Saccharomyces cerevisiae S288C: one gene and its partners. Changing the gene in region 2 together with the main gene of any one other region gives a genetic interaction. Each region holds a gene or a part of one and is shown on either strand. Other genes may lie near its edges.

Region 1 (4,377 bases), 550 kb from region 2:
GAACTCGTCACGGATGAACGCATGCTGGGCAGCCAGGATTTCCAAGAACGTAAACTTTACTCCGTGGTCTCTGAGGGTCTTTCTGATTAGATCGCGGCCTTGCGGGTCGACATGGGTGTCCGCAGTTCCGAAGATCAAAACCATTTCTTGGTTATTACCCAACTCCTTCGAAACACGTTCCAAAGAGTTATCGTTCTGGCCAAGACCTAAGGTTCTGGAATGGATGTCGGTAGGGAAGAAGCAGGTTGCGCAGGTAACCCTTTTGTCCAGGAGCGCTCTAAAAGCCAAATGGCCACCTAAACACATTCCTGTGGAACCAATTCTCTTACCATCGAATTGGGGTAACTGGAAAAGTAGATCGCAACACAGTTTGTTGTCCTCATCGTATGATTCTAACGGCTTCTTGATCTTGTACTCGTTACCAATATCGGTACCCTGCACGTCATAGGGCAACGCTTCAGGGCCCATAAAGTTGTGGTATATGGCAGGTGCCACCACAACGTAACCTTCAGACGCAATTCTTTGACCAAAACGACGAACCGGACCCGTCACTTGGTAAATTTCACTGTACAGAATCACCCCAGGAAACTTAGCTTGTGGATAGCCTGCAATCTTAGGAGAATATACGTATATACGCAGAGTGGTGCCGTATGATGTCTGCACATCATGAAAGGTCTCAGTAATCAACATTGTTTGCTTTATCTACTACCACGAGTTTATTACGGCGTCATTTTCAGTCTGACCCTTCTTTTATATAGTTTCTCCTAGTGAGGTTTTTCCGATAAAATTTCTTCCTGATCTTCACAAAGCATCCAGCAAAGTAGGAAAAAAGCTGAAAACCCGACGAAGGGTACTTGTTGAAAGCCATTGAGGTATTGATGGTTGGTGGTAGTATGCTATCTGAAGATAGGCCACATGATTTAGGTAAAGGAGCTGGCCATCGCTAACTGACTAGTCGTATTCTTCCACATCATGGCAACTTCCTTAATGTATTACCCGAATAACCGCCGAAGCCTCAGGCATTAGAGAAGAAAGAAAAGAACAAAAAGTTATACTACAAAAGGCTCTACACTCCCAGCAGAAAGCTGCCAACTACCGTCAGAATGTCAACTATGTCAACGCCTGCCGCAGAACAACGCAAACTCGTCGAACAGCTGATGGGCAGGGACTTCAGTTTCCGCCACAACAGGTATTCGCATCAAAAAAGAGACCTCGGACTACACGATCCCAAGATCTGCAAGTCATACCTTGTTGGCGAGTGCCCCTACGACCTGTTTCAGGGCACCAAGCAGAGCCTGGGAAAATGCCCGCAGATGCATCTTACCAAGCATAAAATTCAGTACGAGAGAGAGGTCAAGCAGGGCAAAACGTTTCCCGAATTCGAAAGAGAATATCTGGCCATTCTATCTCGGTTTGTTAATGAGTGTAATGGCCAGATATCCGTAGCACTACAAAATCTAAAACACACCGCTGAGGAACGAATGAAGATTCAGCAGGTTACCGAAGAACTAGATGTCTTGGACGTGCGGATAGGCCTAATGGGACAAGAGATTGATTCTTTAATTCGTGCAGATGAAGTCAGTATGGGTATGCTACAGTCAGTCAAATTACAAGAACTGATTAGTAAAAGGAAAGAAGTTGCAAAACGTGTACGAAACATTACAGAAAACGTGGGCCAGAGCGCCCAGCAAAAGTTACAGGTTTGCGAGGTGTGTGGGGCATACCTATCGCGTTTAGATACAGACAGAAGGCTTGCTGACCACTTCTTGGGGAAGATTCATCTGGGATATGTCAAGATGAGAGAGGATTATGATCGGCTAATGAAGAATAACCGGACAACTAACGCCAGCAAGACAGCTACTACACTACCCGGAAGACGCTTTGTGTAGGGCCATACATAAAAAAATGATGCTAGAAAAATTTTGTTCGAAGGAGAGTACTTATGAAAGAAGAAAGGTTTGTGAATATCACACACATACCTCTGCATAGTTTATTTCCCGATAAGGTAGACATATCGTTTCCCTATCTATTTAAGTTTTTTATTCGCTCTCTTTTTTTTTTTTTCTCTGTAACCTGAAAACAAGGAACGGCAAATTAAAATGTTTGGAATACGTTCAGGCAATAATAACGGTGGATTTACTAACCTCACGTCGCAAGCACCACAGACAACCCAGATGTTTCAATCGCAATCACAGTTGCAGCCACAACCGCAACCGCAACCACAACAACAGCAGCAACACTTGCAATTCAATGGATCATCCGATGCAAGTTCTTTACGATTTGGAAACTCACTTTCCAATACTGTAAACGCCAATAACTATAGTAGTAATATCGGTAACAATAGCATCAACAACAACAACATTAAAAACGGCACAAATAACATAAGCCAACATGGCCAAGGGAATAATCCTAGCTGGGTGAATAATCCTAAAAAGAGATTCACTCCTCATACGGTGATAAGAAGGAAGACAACAAAGCAAAATTCTTCTTCTGACATCAACCAGAATGATGATTCATCTTCTATGAACGCTACTATGAGAAATTTCAGTAAGCAAAATCAAGATTCCAAGCATAATGAAAGAAATAAGTCTGCGGCAAATAATGACATCAATTCTCTGTTGTCAAATTTTAACGATATTCCACCCTCCGTTACTTTACAGGATTGGCAACGCGAGGATGAATTCGGTTCTATTCCATCATTAACAACTCAGTTTGTTACCGACAAATACACGGCGAAGAAAACAAATAGGTCAGCTTATGATTCCAAAAATACTCCAAATGTTTTTGATAAAGACTCTTATGTTAGAATAGCAAACATTGAACAGAACCATTTAGATAATAATTACAACACCGCCGAAACAAACAATAAAGTCCATGAAACATCTTCCAAGTCTTCTAGTTTGAGCGCAATTATCGTATTTGGCTATCCTGAATCAATTTCCAATGAATTGATTGAACACTTCTCCCATTTCGGTCATATTATGGAAGACTTTCAAGTATTGCGATTGGGTCGCGGGATTAACCCCAACACCTTCAGAATATTCCATAATCATGATACAGGCTGTGATGAAAACGATTCTACTGTTAATAAATCTATTACTTTAAAAGGCAGAAATAATGAGTCGAATAACAAAAAATATCCAATATTTACTGGTGAAAGTTGGGTCAAACTCACTTATAATTCTCCATCTTCTGCTTTGAGAGCACTGCAGGAAAATGGAACCATATTTCGCGGTTCTTTGATTGGTTGCATCCCATATTCAAAAAATGCGGTGGAGCAATTAGCTGGCTGCAAAATTGATAATGTCGACGACATTGGAGAATTCAACGTTTCTATGTATCAAAATTCCTCCACATCGTCGACATCTAATACACCATCCCCACCAAACGTAATAATAACTGATGGCACTCTTCTGAGGGAAGACGATAATACTCCTGCCGGTCATGCTGGTAATCCAACAAATATTTCAAGTCCAATAGTAGCAAATTCTCCGAATAAGCGGCTGGATGTAATAGATGGCAAATTGCCATTCATGCAAAATGCAGGACCGAATTCGAATATTCCTAATCTGTTGCGAAACCTAGAATCGAAAATGCGTCAGCAAGAAGCGAAATACAGAAATAATGAACCTGCTGGTTTTACGCACAAACTGAGTAATTGGTTATTTGGTTGGAATGACCTATAACAGAAATCGTCCAGCTAATTATTCATGAACATTTACAATACTTCATACATTTATTATTTTGATAACTTTTCAAACAGCATTGTTTTACTTTTGTTTATTGATTTTTACGTAACTGTATATACTTAGACATAATTAAGAAACGTTATCTTTTGTGATAGTTCTTCTTTTTCTTTGGAGAGCGAAGAATGGAATTAATATCATTCTTATTCAATACATTGAACTCTGAGCCTTCAAACCTTTTCTGTCGTGCGCTTAAAGGCGTTTTTCTCAATGGGCTCAGGGATTTCGATGGTCTATTTTGGTCTTGATTCGGCAGGTAAGCTCCGCCCTTCTCTAAATTTTCATTTGACGATGATTGAGCCAAATTGTTATCCAAAACTTTATCCCTATAATATGGGGACATTCTAGGAGAATAATGAAAACCAATGGGATGACTTTGATGGTCAGATACTTGAGAAATGCCTCCATAATCCTTTATTCTGGTTTCACGGGATCCTGGCACACTTTCTGTCATTTTCGGTAATGCCTCAAATTCCCTTTTTTCATAATTATAAACCTCTCTGATTTCTTCGCCACATAGGGAGTGAGTGGTGAATATTCTCGGTGTTTTAGATCTAGTACCCATTGCAGATGATAGAGTATCTATATTGCTGCATTGGTTAATTCGTGCCATTATATGCTTGTCCTCATA
Region 2 (4,124 bases):
CGACAAAGTACAAAAGTTGGCAAACAATATCATGAATAAAAAAGAATGTCTCTTTTTAGACACAGTAGATAAGAATGAACCTGAAGCACATGAAAGAATTGATCAGTCTGTCGTCATTTCAGAAAAGTTTGCCAATAGTATATTTGCTGCTGTGGAGCATATAAAGAAACAAATAAAGGAAAGAGATTCTAATTACAAAGCCATTATTTTTGCACCAACTGTTAAATTCACATCCTTTTTGTGCAGTATTTTAAAGAATGAATTTAAGAAAGATTTACCAATTTTGGAATTTCATGGTAAAATTACTCAAAATAAAAGAACAAGTTTAGTTAAAAGATTCAAAAAAGATGAATCCGGTATTTTGGTTTGTACGGATGTGGGAGCCCGTGGTATGGATTTCCCAAACGTCCACGAAGTTTTGCAAATTGGTGTTCCATCTGAGTTGGCTAATTATATTCATAGAATTGGTAGAACAGCCAGAAGTGGGAAAGAAGGATCTTCTGTGCTATTCATTTGTAAAGATGAATTGCCATTTGTTAGAGAGTTGGAAGATGCAAAAAATATAGTCATTGCCAAACAAGAAAAATATGAGCCCAGTGAAGAAATAAAATCTGAGGTCCTAGAGGCAGTGACCGAAGAACCGGAAGACATATCAGATATTGTAATAAGTTTAATCTCATCCTACAGATCCTGTATCAAGGAATACAGGTTTTCTGAAAGGCGCATACTTCCTGAAATTGCTTCCACTTATGGTGTACTGTTAAATGATCCTCAATTAAAGATTCCAGTATCCAGAAGGTTTTTAGATAAATTAGGTTTGAGCCGTAGTCCAATTGGTAAGGCAATGTTTGAAATTAGAGACTATAGTAGTAGAGATGGAAATAACAAGTCCTACGATTATGATGATGATTCAGAAATTTCTTTCAGAGGCAACAAAAACTATAATAATAGGAGCCAAAATAGAGATTACGATGACGAACCGTTTAGACGCAGCAACAACAATAGACGCTCATTCTCCCGTAGTAATGATAAAAATAATTACTCCAGTAGAAACAGCAACATATATTAGAAAAGATAAAAAAGGAGGACCAAGAGATGTGGGTTGTATTTTAAATAACAATTCCTCTATTAAGACGCCTGTATTTTAGACCCCATCTTGATTCAATACTTTCACGTGTAAATACCTAGTATATAAATATTAAACAAAAATTTTTTTTCTTCTCCTATTCTCTTAAAATGATAACTATACGAAGATCCTACTGGTATATTTATTCGTCAATGCTTATTTACGACCGGTACCTCCATTCTTACTTTCGCTCTTCCTCCTCTCAAAGGAAAAGTAATTCTAACATTGTAATTCTTATTTAAACGGATGGAAGAAAGCTTTTGAGAATTTACTTGAAAAGTCAGGGTGTCTTAGGCGATTGATCACGGACATAGCCATATTACGAAAACTTCATTCTGAATATTGCCAACGAGACAATCGTGGGCTTGGTAATCGTTGAAAAATTTTCACATATTTTATGAACAGCTGAGCCTATTAACAATGAAAATAGTCTATACGATAGTCCAGAACTGAATAACAGTGTCAATCACTTTTTTTTTTATGATTAAATCCTAGTTAAAGTGCCGCTCTGCGAAAGAAAAATCAATAAATACCATTTGTTAGTGATCTAGCAATAATATCAATGACATCTTGTCTTATCTTAAAAATAAACAAAAAATTCTTTACAGTGTACTGAGCATTAATCTGGCTACGGCCTGGAGGGAAATTATGTCTTATACGAATTTTGCTCCGGCAATTCTATTTACGCTGTTTAGCTTATCATGCGATTTCAACCTTCTTTATATAGTAAATTAGCTTCGAAATAAAAGTATTCGCGAGAGGACAAGACATGAAACCTAAACCACGACGCTGAAGGTAACGACATCATAATACGTTTCAAAGGGCTAACCTTAATATACTGACATCTAGAAATATATTAATTCTGCATATCAAGAAACACGCCGACTGAGGGTGCAAGGTATTTGAAAAAAAATAGTGAATCAATAGATGAGCGCACAATGTTTAAAGTACTATAACACTGAACTGTTGTACTTTAACGCAAAAGCTCATCAAGCTATCATTAAATTTCGACCCGAGCAACGACTCAACTGTAATGTCAGCTTTCGGTAACCCATTCACGTCGGGTGCTAAGCCTAATCTTTCTAATACAAGTGGTATCAACCCTTTCACAAATAATGCTGCTAGTACCAATAACATGGGAGGAAGTGCATTTGGAAGACCTAGTTTTGGAACAGCAAACACAATGACAGGAGGAACCACCACTTCAGCATTTGGAATGCCCCAGTTTGGTACCAATACAGGCAATACTGGCAATACGTCAATTAGCGCTTTTGGGAACACCAGTAATGCGGCTAAACCGTCAGCATTTGGAGCACCAGCATTTGGTTCTAGCGCCCCCATCAATGTTAATCCGCCTTCTACTACGTCAGCATTTGGAGCACCGTCATTTGGATCAACAGGTTTTGGTGCTATGGCGGCGACAAGTAATCCTTTTGGTAAAAGTCCTGGCTCAATGGGCTCTGCATTTGGTCAACCAGCTTTTGGAGCGAACAAAACTGCTATCCCTTCTAGTTCGGTTAGTAATAGTAATAACTCCGCATTTGGTGCTGCGTCAAACACGCCCTTGACCACAACTTCTCCTTTTGGTTCACTGCAACAAAACGCATCACAAAATGCATCATCTACATCGTCAGCGTTTGGCAAACCGACTTTCGGCGCAGCTACTAATACCCAGTCGCCATTTGGTACTATTCAAAATACAAGTACAAGCAGTGGGACAGGAGTATCCCCATTTGGCACATTTGGAACTAATAGTAATAACAAATCACCTTTTAGTAATCTACAGAGCGGAGCAGGCGCTGGTTCTTCGCCGTTTGGTACTACAACCTCCAAAGCTAACAACAACAATAACGTGGGCAGTAGCGCATTCGGAACGACGAATAATCAATCTCCTTTTAGCGGAGGTTCTGGGGGCACCTTTGGTTCTGCTTCTAACCTCAATAAAAATACCAATGGCAACTTTCAATCTTCTTTTGGTAATAAAGGGTTTTCATTCGGAATTACACCACAAAACGATGCCAACAAAGTCTCGCAATCGAACCCTTCATTTGGGCAAACAATGCCAAACACAGATCCGAACATAAGTTTGAAGAGCAATGGTAACGCAACCTCTTTTGGATTTGGACAACAACAGATGAATGCTACTAATGTCAACGCTAATACGGCCACCGGAAAAATTAGATTTGTTCAAGGGTTATCTTCTGAAAAGGACGGTATTCTAGAATTGGCCGATCTCGCAGAGGAAACACTGAAAATATTCAGAGCAAACAAGTTTGAACTAGGCCTTGTCCCTGATATACCTCCACCACCTGCATTGGTTGCATAGTAAGGTCAAAGAAAAACATACAAAATGGTAACTTAAACAATATATATGAATATATATATATATCTAATGAAAAATGCATTAATTTTATCTCCAACCTTTTTTGGTAGGACAAATACTTTCTATAATAATGAGGTAACATGCTGACAATCTCCCAGTACAACTAGGTCTACAAATTTCAAAGAGTCTAGCACATTCTTAGGCGGCATACTGGTGTTTAAATATAACACAATACCCCTGTTTGCATGGACTTTGGCCGCAAACTGCCTGCAAATATTTTTCACTCCGGGAATCTTCAAACTCGTTCCAACAATAATCAAACAATCAATTCTTTTCTTTAAGTCATTATTGGCAATTTCACCGATAAAATCACCTTCAGGGTGGACCTCATTGTATAAAATTACTCTTGGACGCAACTTGCCCACACCAGTAGATCTTAAGCCTGCCATTTTTCTAACTGTTTCATATTCTTCACATTGTGGACATGACGGTATGATTTCAGTCCGAGAATCAAATTTGTCGTCGCATTTGAACAGTTCAGGGTCAAAAGGTTTGATATTCAGACATTTATTGCATTCCATGTGTTTTATGCTTCCGTGTAATTGTACTGTACTGGGTATTGGCTTCGCCAGAGGCACATTAGTTGATAAATGAGGTAATTGTGTATCTAAACCG
Region 3 (3,398 bases), on a different chromosome or scaffold from region 2:
AGATGTAAGAGGCCGGCGAATTATCTAAGATGATTGTTTCGGACAATGGTCTTCCGATCTGCGATAAGTTCTTGATGTAGTTACCTTCGTAGTTATAACAAGCTTCTCTGAATAATCGATGATGGATGGTTCCATTAGGGTCCAACGTATCTAAAAGGGGGTTTGCATACCTCGAAACACTTGCCGTGAACACAACAACTTCGTATAGTTGACTCACCCTGTTCAAGAACTCATCGACGCCTGGCCTCTTAATAACATAGACATTGTGAACTTGATCATCGATTTCGACGGGCAAAACGAAATCAGCTGAATGCATATATTTAAAGGAAGAATGTACCAAAGTTTCGTCTAGATCCAATATCAGACATTTTTTCTGTTGAAATTCTTGCAACTTGGGTGGTAGCAGAGTGTCGTATCCGGGGGCATGGTACTGGTCTGGTTGCAAATGCGTCAGGTCAGAGAAGTCCTCCTCCGTTGTAGGTATCAAGTTTAAATCATTATCAGGACTGCTGGCGACATATTGTGGATTCATATCTTCTTGACCCACCTGATACAGACCCTGTTGTGGTGGCGCCTCGTCATTAATACTGGAATTTCTATCTGCGTCAACGTTATATTCATGAACGACATGGTCTTGCTTTTCTTTTGCTTCGTCATCTTCTTCTTCTTCTTCTCCGGCATTGTTAACCTCCGTCATTTCTACGTCTCCTTCATTATAATCTTCATATTCTTTCTCCTCATCGTACGAGTTGTTGGAGTGATCTCTTGATAAAGGTGCTAGTTTTCCATTGCCGCTATTCCCATTCTCCTGCATTGTCTTGGAACCCGCATTGCTGCCTGAATCGGAACTAGACAAAAGGATCTCCGGTGTGGAATATTGCATCTTGTCGCCGTTTGGAGTAGCCTTCTGCTTACGACCCTGAGTTTGAGCTTTGTTTGAACTGTGCTTACGGTTGCGGTTGCGGTTGTGATTAGTTTCTGGTGGTTGGCGTTGACGATGTGTTTTGGAAGTATCTGAAGAACAGCACAGTATATTTGCTATAAATCCCATCTGATGATGATCTGAAAAAGCTCCCTAAAACAGACAGAGAAGCACTCTTCACTCAGTTTTTATTGCCAAATAAGTGGAAAATTAAAACGAAAGAACTCAAAAGCAGCACTGCGCTCGAAGAAAGATATATCTTAGCTTAAATCCTCTCCAAAAGGGGAGAACGAAGAATATGTGTAAATTAAGCGATGCTTCGTGGGTTTCTTTTACGCGCTGCGAAAAAGATAATCAAATCTCTAAATTTTAGAAATATAAGCCAGTCGGTAGCCCCCACAAGTCAATTATATATGTCAAAGTTCGTGGCACTGTGGACTGCTTTCATAAAGCTTCTCTTTATCTGTTCCTTAGACTGTGAATACTGAGGTTTTCTAAAAAAAAGCAAAAAAAAAAAAAGAGGGTCCAAACCTATTAACTTCAGGGTTTAAGTATCTTTTTTGTAGGTTATAATGTTCTTTTTATAAACCTTTCTCAGGTTATAATAATATTTCTCAGGTCTAATTAGGGCTAAAGTCTAAAGAAAAATGAAAAAAAAAAAAAATGAAATTTGTGCTAATAGTAATAATGATAGAAATAATAACAATTAATAAGATGGTTATGATGAACAAAAAGATTTATATTATAAGAACTTGACAATATACAGACTTTTAATATATCCGCAGAGGCAAAAAAATAATAGAGGGAACTATGAAGATTCAGGCGGGCCAATTGGGCCTGGACGATAATGACGTGCCGGGACCATTGCCGGACACAGACAGCAAACCCTCATCACAATCACAAAATGACACACCAATGTTTAAATTGGGCAACTTTGAAAGTCCTGTGCTCAAGGAGCTATCACGGCGAACGGTAAACAAGGAAATGGAGACGCAGAGAATTATGACAAACGTAATTGCGTTTGCGTTCTGGAACCTGCTGGTGAAGTTCATCAAGTTCTTTTGGAACAACACTCATGTTGGGAGACAGTTTTGCAACCGGCTATCCAGAATCCATCTGTACATGTTGACATTTCACACGTTAAAGAAGGCTAACATCATATATCACACCACGTTCAGTTGGTTGAATGCAGAACTTCTTGACTACTTGTTCCACCTATTAATCTCGCTCAATATACTGTTTTCTCTTTGGAAGCTCTTATCCACCGTCAAAGTAAGTGATTTGAATCTCACTGACAGGCAAAAGAAGCTCCTGGGGGTAGACATGCAATCATCTGTCGATACTGGGTTGCAGCCACAACACCCCCACTACGTATCCACTTCTAAGATCAGCCAAATGGCACAGAACAAAACACATATTCCTCAAACAAATCTCAAAAATCATCCAGCATATCTCTTCAAAGGCTTAGAGACGCCTTTGAAAGCAAGACAAAGGGAAATGGCGGAGGAACAGACGAAACTACAATCTCAATCCTTACACACAAAGAATGTATTTGGCACACTGCAGAGGCATAGCGGTATCAGTAGCACATTAGTGAGCGCTAACAATGACAATAACTCGCCGCATACCCCTGTAACTAGGAAGGGCTACATTCCAAGTAGCAAATATGCATATATGATGAACTCACAGTCCCCAAGGGGGAAAATATAAAAACAGCAAAAAAACATTTAATACTTTCCATAGCTATATATGTTTTCTCTCCTATTTATATTTTACATATGATTAGCGGCAACCATTACCAATAGTTTGGAAATAAGTATCTTAGTCTTTCTAAGGTTTCCTTGGACATAGCCTCTGGTTTGGTAGAGATAGATTTCTTGATGGAACCGCGCAGCCCATCGCCAGTATGCATGAACTCTGGGATTTCCTTGGCCATTGAGACGATGATCTTAGAAGCTAAAATATTTGCATTGCGCCCATTATTCGTCAAATTACCAATAACGGTTTCTACGGTAACAGGTTCTGCCTCATCTCTCCATGCGTCGTAATCGGTAGACATACAAATCATCTGGTAAGGCAGCTCACACTCACGCGCCAATTTGGCTTCTGGAATAACACTCATGTTAATAACATGGCCACCAAACATTCTGTACATCTTGGATTCAGCGCGCGTGGAGAATTGTGGGCCTTCCATACACACAACGGTCATATCCTTGTCGTAATGCAAATGGCACGGTTCTTCGGATTCAGGATTTGTTATCTCGTTCTTGAATTGATAGATATACTCTGCGAATTTTTGAGAGAACGGCTGTCCGAAACCAACGTGACCTACCAAGCCTTCATCGTTGAAATATGAAGAATGTCTTATGCCTTTAGTTCTGTCGATTATTTGCTGTGGTAACACAAAATCTCTAGGCTTTATATGGGGTTGTAAAGACCCCACGGCACTAAAAGAAAGAACGGCTTTACAATTTAA
Region 4 (3,415 bases), on a different chromosome or scaffold from region 2:
TATTATTATTAACTTCTCATCTAGCACACTATAAAATCGTGGGATCCATCCCACGTTGCATAGCCATGCTAGAGGTTTTCCAAATTGTTATCAAAGACTATCAAACACCTAAGGGAACTACCTTGTCACGTAACTTAACAAGTTATTTGTCACACCAGATTGATCTTTTGAAAAAAGCTAGACCTTTAAGTGTTACTATGGGTAATGCTATCAGATGGTTAAAGCAAGAAATTTCATTAATTGACCCATCTACCCCCGACAAAGCCGCCAAAAAAGACCTTTGTGAGAAAATTGGGCAGTTTGCTAAAGAAAAAATCGAACTGGCTGATCAACTAATTATAGACAATGCCTCTACACAAATTGAAGAATCTACTACTATTGTGACATATGGTTCATCAAAGGTTCTAACTGAACTGTTACTGCATAATGCAATCAGTTTAAAGAAAAACATCAAAGTGATTGTCGTCGATTCGAGACCACTATTTGAAGGGCGGAAAATGGCAGAAACTTTAAGAAATGCTGGTGTCAATGTTATGTATGCACTTATTACAAGTTTGGATACGATATTCAATATGGATGTGGACTATGTGTTTTTAGGAGCCCATTCTATCCTATCTAATGGGTTCCTATATTCAAGAGCTGGGACAGCAATGTTGGCTATGAGCGCTAAGAGAAGAAATATACCTGTATTAGTCTGCTGCGAAAGTTTGAAGTTTTCACAAAGAGTACAATTGGATAGTGTCACATTTAATGAACTGGCAGATCCAAATGACCTGGTTAATATAGATTACGAAAATCCAGTCGAGAGACGCGGTAATAAAGGTGCGTTATTAAACCAATTTATCAAAGAAAGAAAATTTGAAAAGAAAAAGCTAGCAATGGAGAATAAGCCAAAGGGTAATAAAATTGGCGGTAAGAAAGGATCTGAAGGAGAAAGCAAGGACGCCAGTAATGAAGAAGACAGCAACAGCAAAAATATTTTGGATGGTTGGCAAGAGTTACCTTCGTTAAATATTGTCAACATCTTATACGATTTAACACCACCAGAATATATTAAAAAAGTGATCACTGAATTCGGCGCTTTGCCACCTTCATCTGTCCCTGTTATTTTAAGAGAGTACAAAGGTTCCGCATAAGCATATACAACATTCGTTAATGGTCGTCCACGTGTGTATACTACATATATATTATATATATATATATATATACATATATATATATATTACACCTAATACGATGAAAAAATACATCTAATGAAAAGAATTGTTTTTATCCTTAGCTTTCCAAAAAGCTTGGTATATATAACAAGATTTAGGCTAGAGAAATGATGTAATTATATAGGGCTATATACAGAGTAAAAGAAACAAAAACGGAGAAAAAAAGCAAGCAAAATGTTACTCTCAGTCATCGATATCGTTAGCTTCAGCAACCGCATCAGATTCGGCCTTGCTTCCAACAACTCCTTTAACGAAAGAAGCCACATTAGCAGGAGGCAAGATGGCAATCATTAATATAATATATTCGTAAATGGCTTCAGGAATGGATCTTTGGTAAATTCCCAATAAATCGGCTGGCTGAGGGTATACAGTCAATGCTTTATAAAACTTAGAGGCTGCTTCCAGTTCCTTACCTTGTTGCATGGATAATCTTTCACCATTTTCTACGTTGGTGGTAAATGTAGCTTCTCTTTCGGAGGGATCACTAGGGATGGGGTCCTTGGCTAATTCCATGGATAAGAATTCGGTAACCTTTTGCAGCTTCACTTCCTTAGCATGAGTTTTAGCTTGTTCTTCCATCTTGGCCTGCTCTTTGGCCCTTTGTCTCAACACTTTCCTGAATTGCGGGCTATTTCTTCTTTGATAGTCAAAGTAGATAGCATAACCGGTGGCTGATAGAGCTGCTATGGCTGTTGTAATAGCGAGGCCACGTAAGATAGGGTTCGACTGGGACATAATAGAAAATAAACTTTATGAAGGTGGCACTTGAGGCAATGTTTCTTGTAGGTCTAGGCGAAGGGACAATAGGTAAATAACGTAAATGTCGGCCATTATCAAGGTGAAATATTCCTGTATAAAAAATGTTATTCGGCGCGAGAAACTGAACGGGGTGACGCACTGCAAATTTTTCATGTTTTACATACTCAAGCATTACAGACTCGATGAGCAGAGATAAGAGACAGGAAATCCATTGAATATAGAAGCATAGATAAGCGATAATGGTTGCTAAGAAGAGAAACACGCTTAGAAGCAAAGTAAGTGCAAGAAATAGTCAAAATTTTGGACCAGACGTAGCGAACAATGGCATTCTGGACGAGAGTTATGACATAGAATCTGATCCAAGGGCCTTTCTGCACCAACCTAAAGAAACTAAAAAGGAAAAGCTACTTAACAGACAGAATACTTTCTTATCTAACTTGAAGGGGAAATCCACACTTAACGATGGCATAGCTGCCAATTTTGATGGTATTTCTAAATCTTCCATTAGACGTAGGAAAAGAAAGCTAAGAGAAGAACTAAAACCAAGAATGCAAGATCTGCTCACTTCTTTGGAGCAAGAAAAGGATTTACGGGGCATTATTGAAAATAGTAGCAAAGACATGAATAACGATGATGACATCGACATGGATTCTAAAATAAGGTTTGTGGACACAAAGGAAATGAACTTGAAAAAGATAGAACCTGGTTCTGTTAGGATAAAAAAGAATCAGCCAAATATCAGGAACCAAAAGGGTGCAAAGGCATTGGCTGCTAACGAAACTGCAAGATTCAATCAGGTCCTAACCAATCAAGATTTCCAAAAAAATCCATTTGGCGCCTTAAGAGAGGTTATCAAGCTGCAAAAACAATGAACATTAAATAGCATAGCATAACAATTTTTGCCAGTGTAATATATATTCCAGCAAACCTAGAAAAACATTCAGTTTCATATTTAGAAGAATAAAAACGTATGTATTGTTGGTCACACATATATAGATGCCATTTCTATCTCTATGTTCTTCTTTTCCTCAATGGGCCCTTTGGTTTGTTGAATTTCAAATTGCTTTTGTTTGGGAGATCTGGATTGGATCCATGATCGAGGCTATCTTCTTTATTTGTTGCCATAAGTAAGGACTTGTCTAGTTCCACAAAATCGCCAATTTCTACCACTTTACTAAATGCGATTTTTTGATCATTTTTCAAGTAGTTGATAAATCCATTCTTGTTAGAAGCATATATCATTCTATCTTTGACTTTGCTGCCAGAGGGACAAGAGTAGATAAAGAAACTTGAATCACCCTGCCTGAAAATCGTGTAACTTGGCCCGGGCAAGTCAATGTACAGTTCATCTACGGAGGGACATGTATCAGATTGCACGATCTGGATGGTTTCGTTCGAGGGATCGATTTGAAATATGATTAAATTTTTACCCTCGCTAT

The links.
Region 1: mutations in NUP42 (region 2) and ASM4 together harm fitness more than expected from each alone (negative genetic interaction), as found in Saccharomyces cerevisiae (4 studies listed by BioGRID, with this or other methods).
Region 3: mutations in NUP42 (region 2) and POM34 together harm fitness more than expected from each alone (negative genetic interaction), as found in Saccharomyces cerevisiae (5 studies listed by BioGRID, with this or other methods).
Region 4: mutations in NUP42 (region 2) and SLX9 together harm fitness more than expected from each alone (negative genetic interaction), as found in Saccharomyces cerevisiae (3 studies listed by BioGRID).

What each region holds. Positions count from the first base shown.
Region 1 is NC_001136.10:297,726-302,102, reverse strand, and holds ASM4 (FG-nucleoporin ASM4), read left to right. Parts: upstream 1-2,099; coding exon 2,100-3,686; downstream 3,687-4,377. Other genes in the region: YDL086W (carboxymethylenebutenolidase), read right to left, coding at 1-690; LUC7 (Luc7p), read left to right, coding at 1,104-1,889; NUR1 (Nur1p), read right to left, coding at 3,829-4,377. UniProt on the Saccharomyces cerevisiae protein: Functions as a component of the nuclear pore complex (NPC).
Region 2 is NC_001136.10:842,897-847,020, reverse strand, and holds NUP42 (FG-nucleoporin NUP42), read left to right. Parts: upstream 1-2,159; coding exon 2,160-3,452; downstream 3,453-4,124. Other genes in the region: MSS116 (ATP-dependent RNA helicase), read left to right, coding at 1-1,069; NAD-dependent histone deacetylase HST4, read right to left, coding at 3,572-4,124. UniProt on the Saccharomyces cerevisiae protein: Functions as a component of the nuclear pore complex (NPC).
Region 3 is NC_001144.5:177,941-181,338, reverse strand, and holds POM34 (Pom34p), read left to right. Parts: upstream 1-1,732; coding exon 1,733-2,632; downstream 2,633-3,398. Other genes in the region: PSR2 (putative phosphatase), read right to left, coding at 1-1,051; MEU1 (S-methyl-5-thioadenosine phosphorylase), read right to left, coding at 2,718-3,398. UniProt on the Saccharomyces cerevisiae protein: Functions as a component of the nuclear pore complex (NPC).
Region 4 is NC_001139.9:642,581-645,995, reverse strand, and holds SLX9 (Slx9p), read left to right. Parts: upstream 1-2,215; coding exon 2,216-2,848; downstream 2,849-3,415. Other genes in the region: GCD2 (translation initiation factor eIF2B subunit delta), read left to right, coding at 1-1,136; TOM complex receptor protein TOM20, read right to left, coding at 1,401-1,952; twinfilin TWF1, read right to left, coding at 2,988-3,415. UniProt on the Saccharomyces cerevisiae protein: Involved in ribosome biogenesis. Required for normal pre-rRNA processing in internal transcribed spacer 1 (ITS1). May be involved in the movements of the replication forks.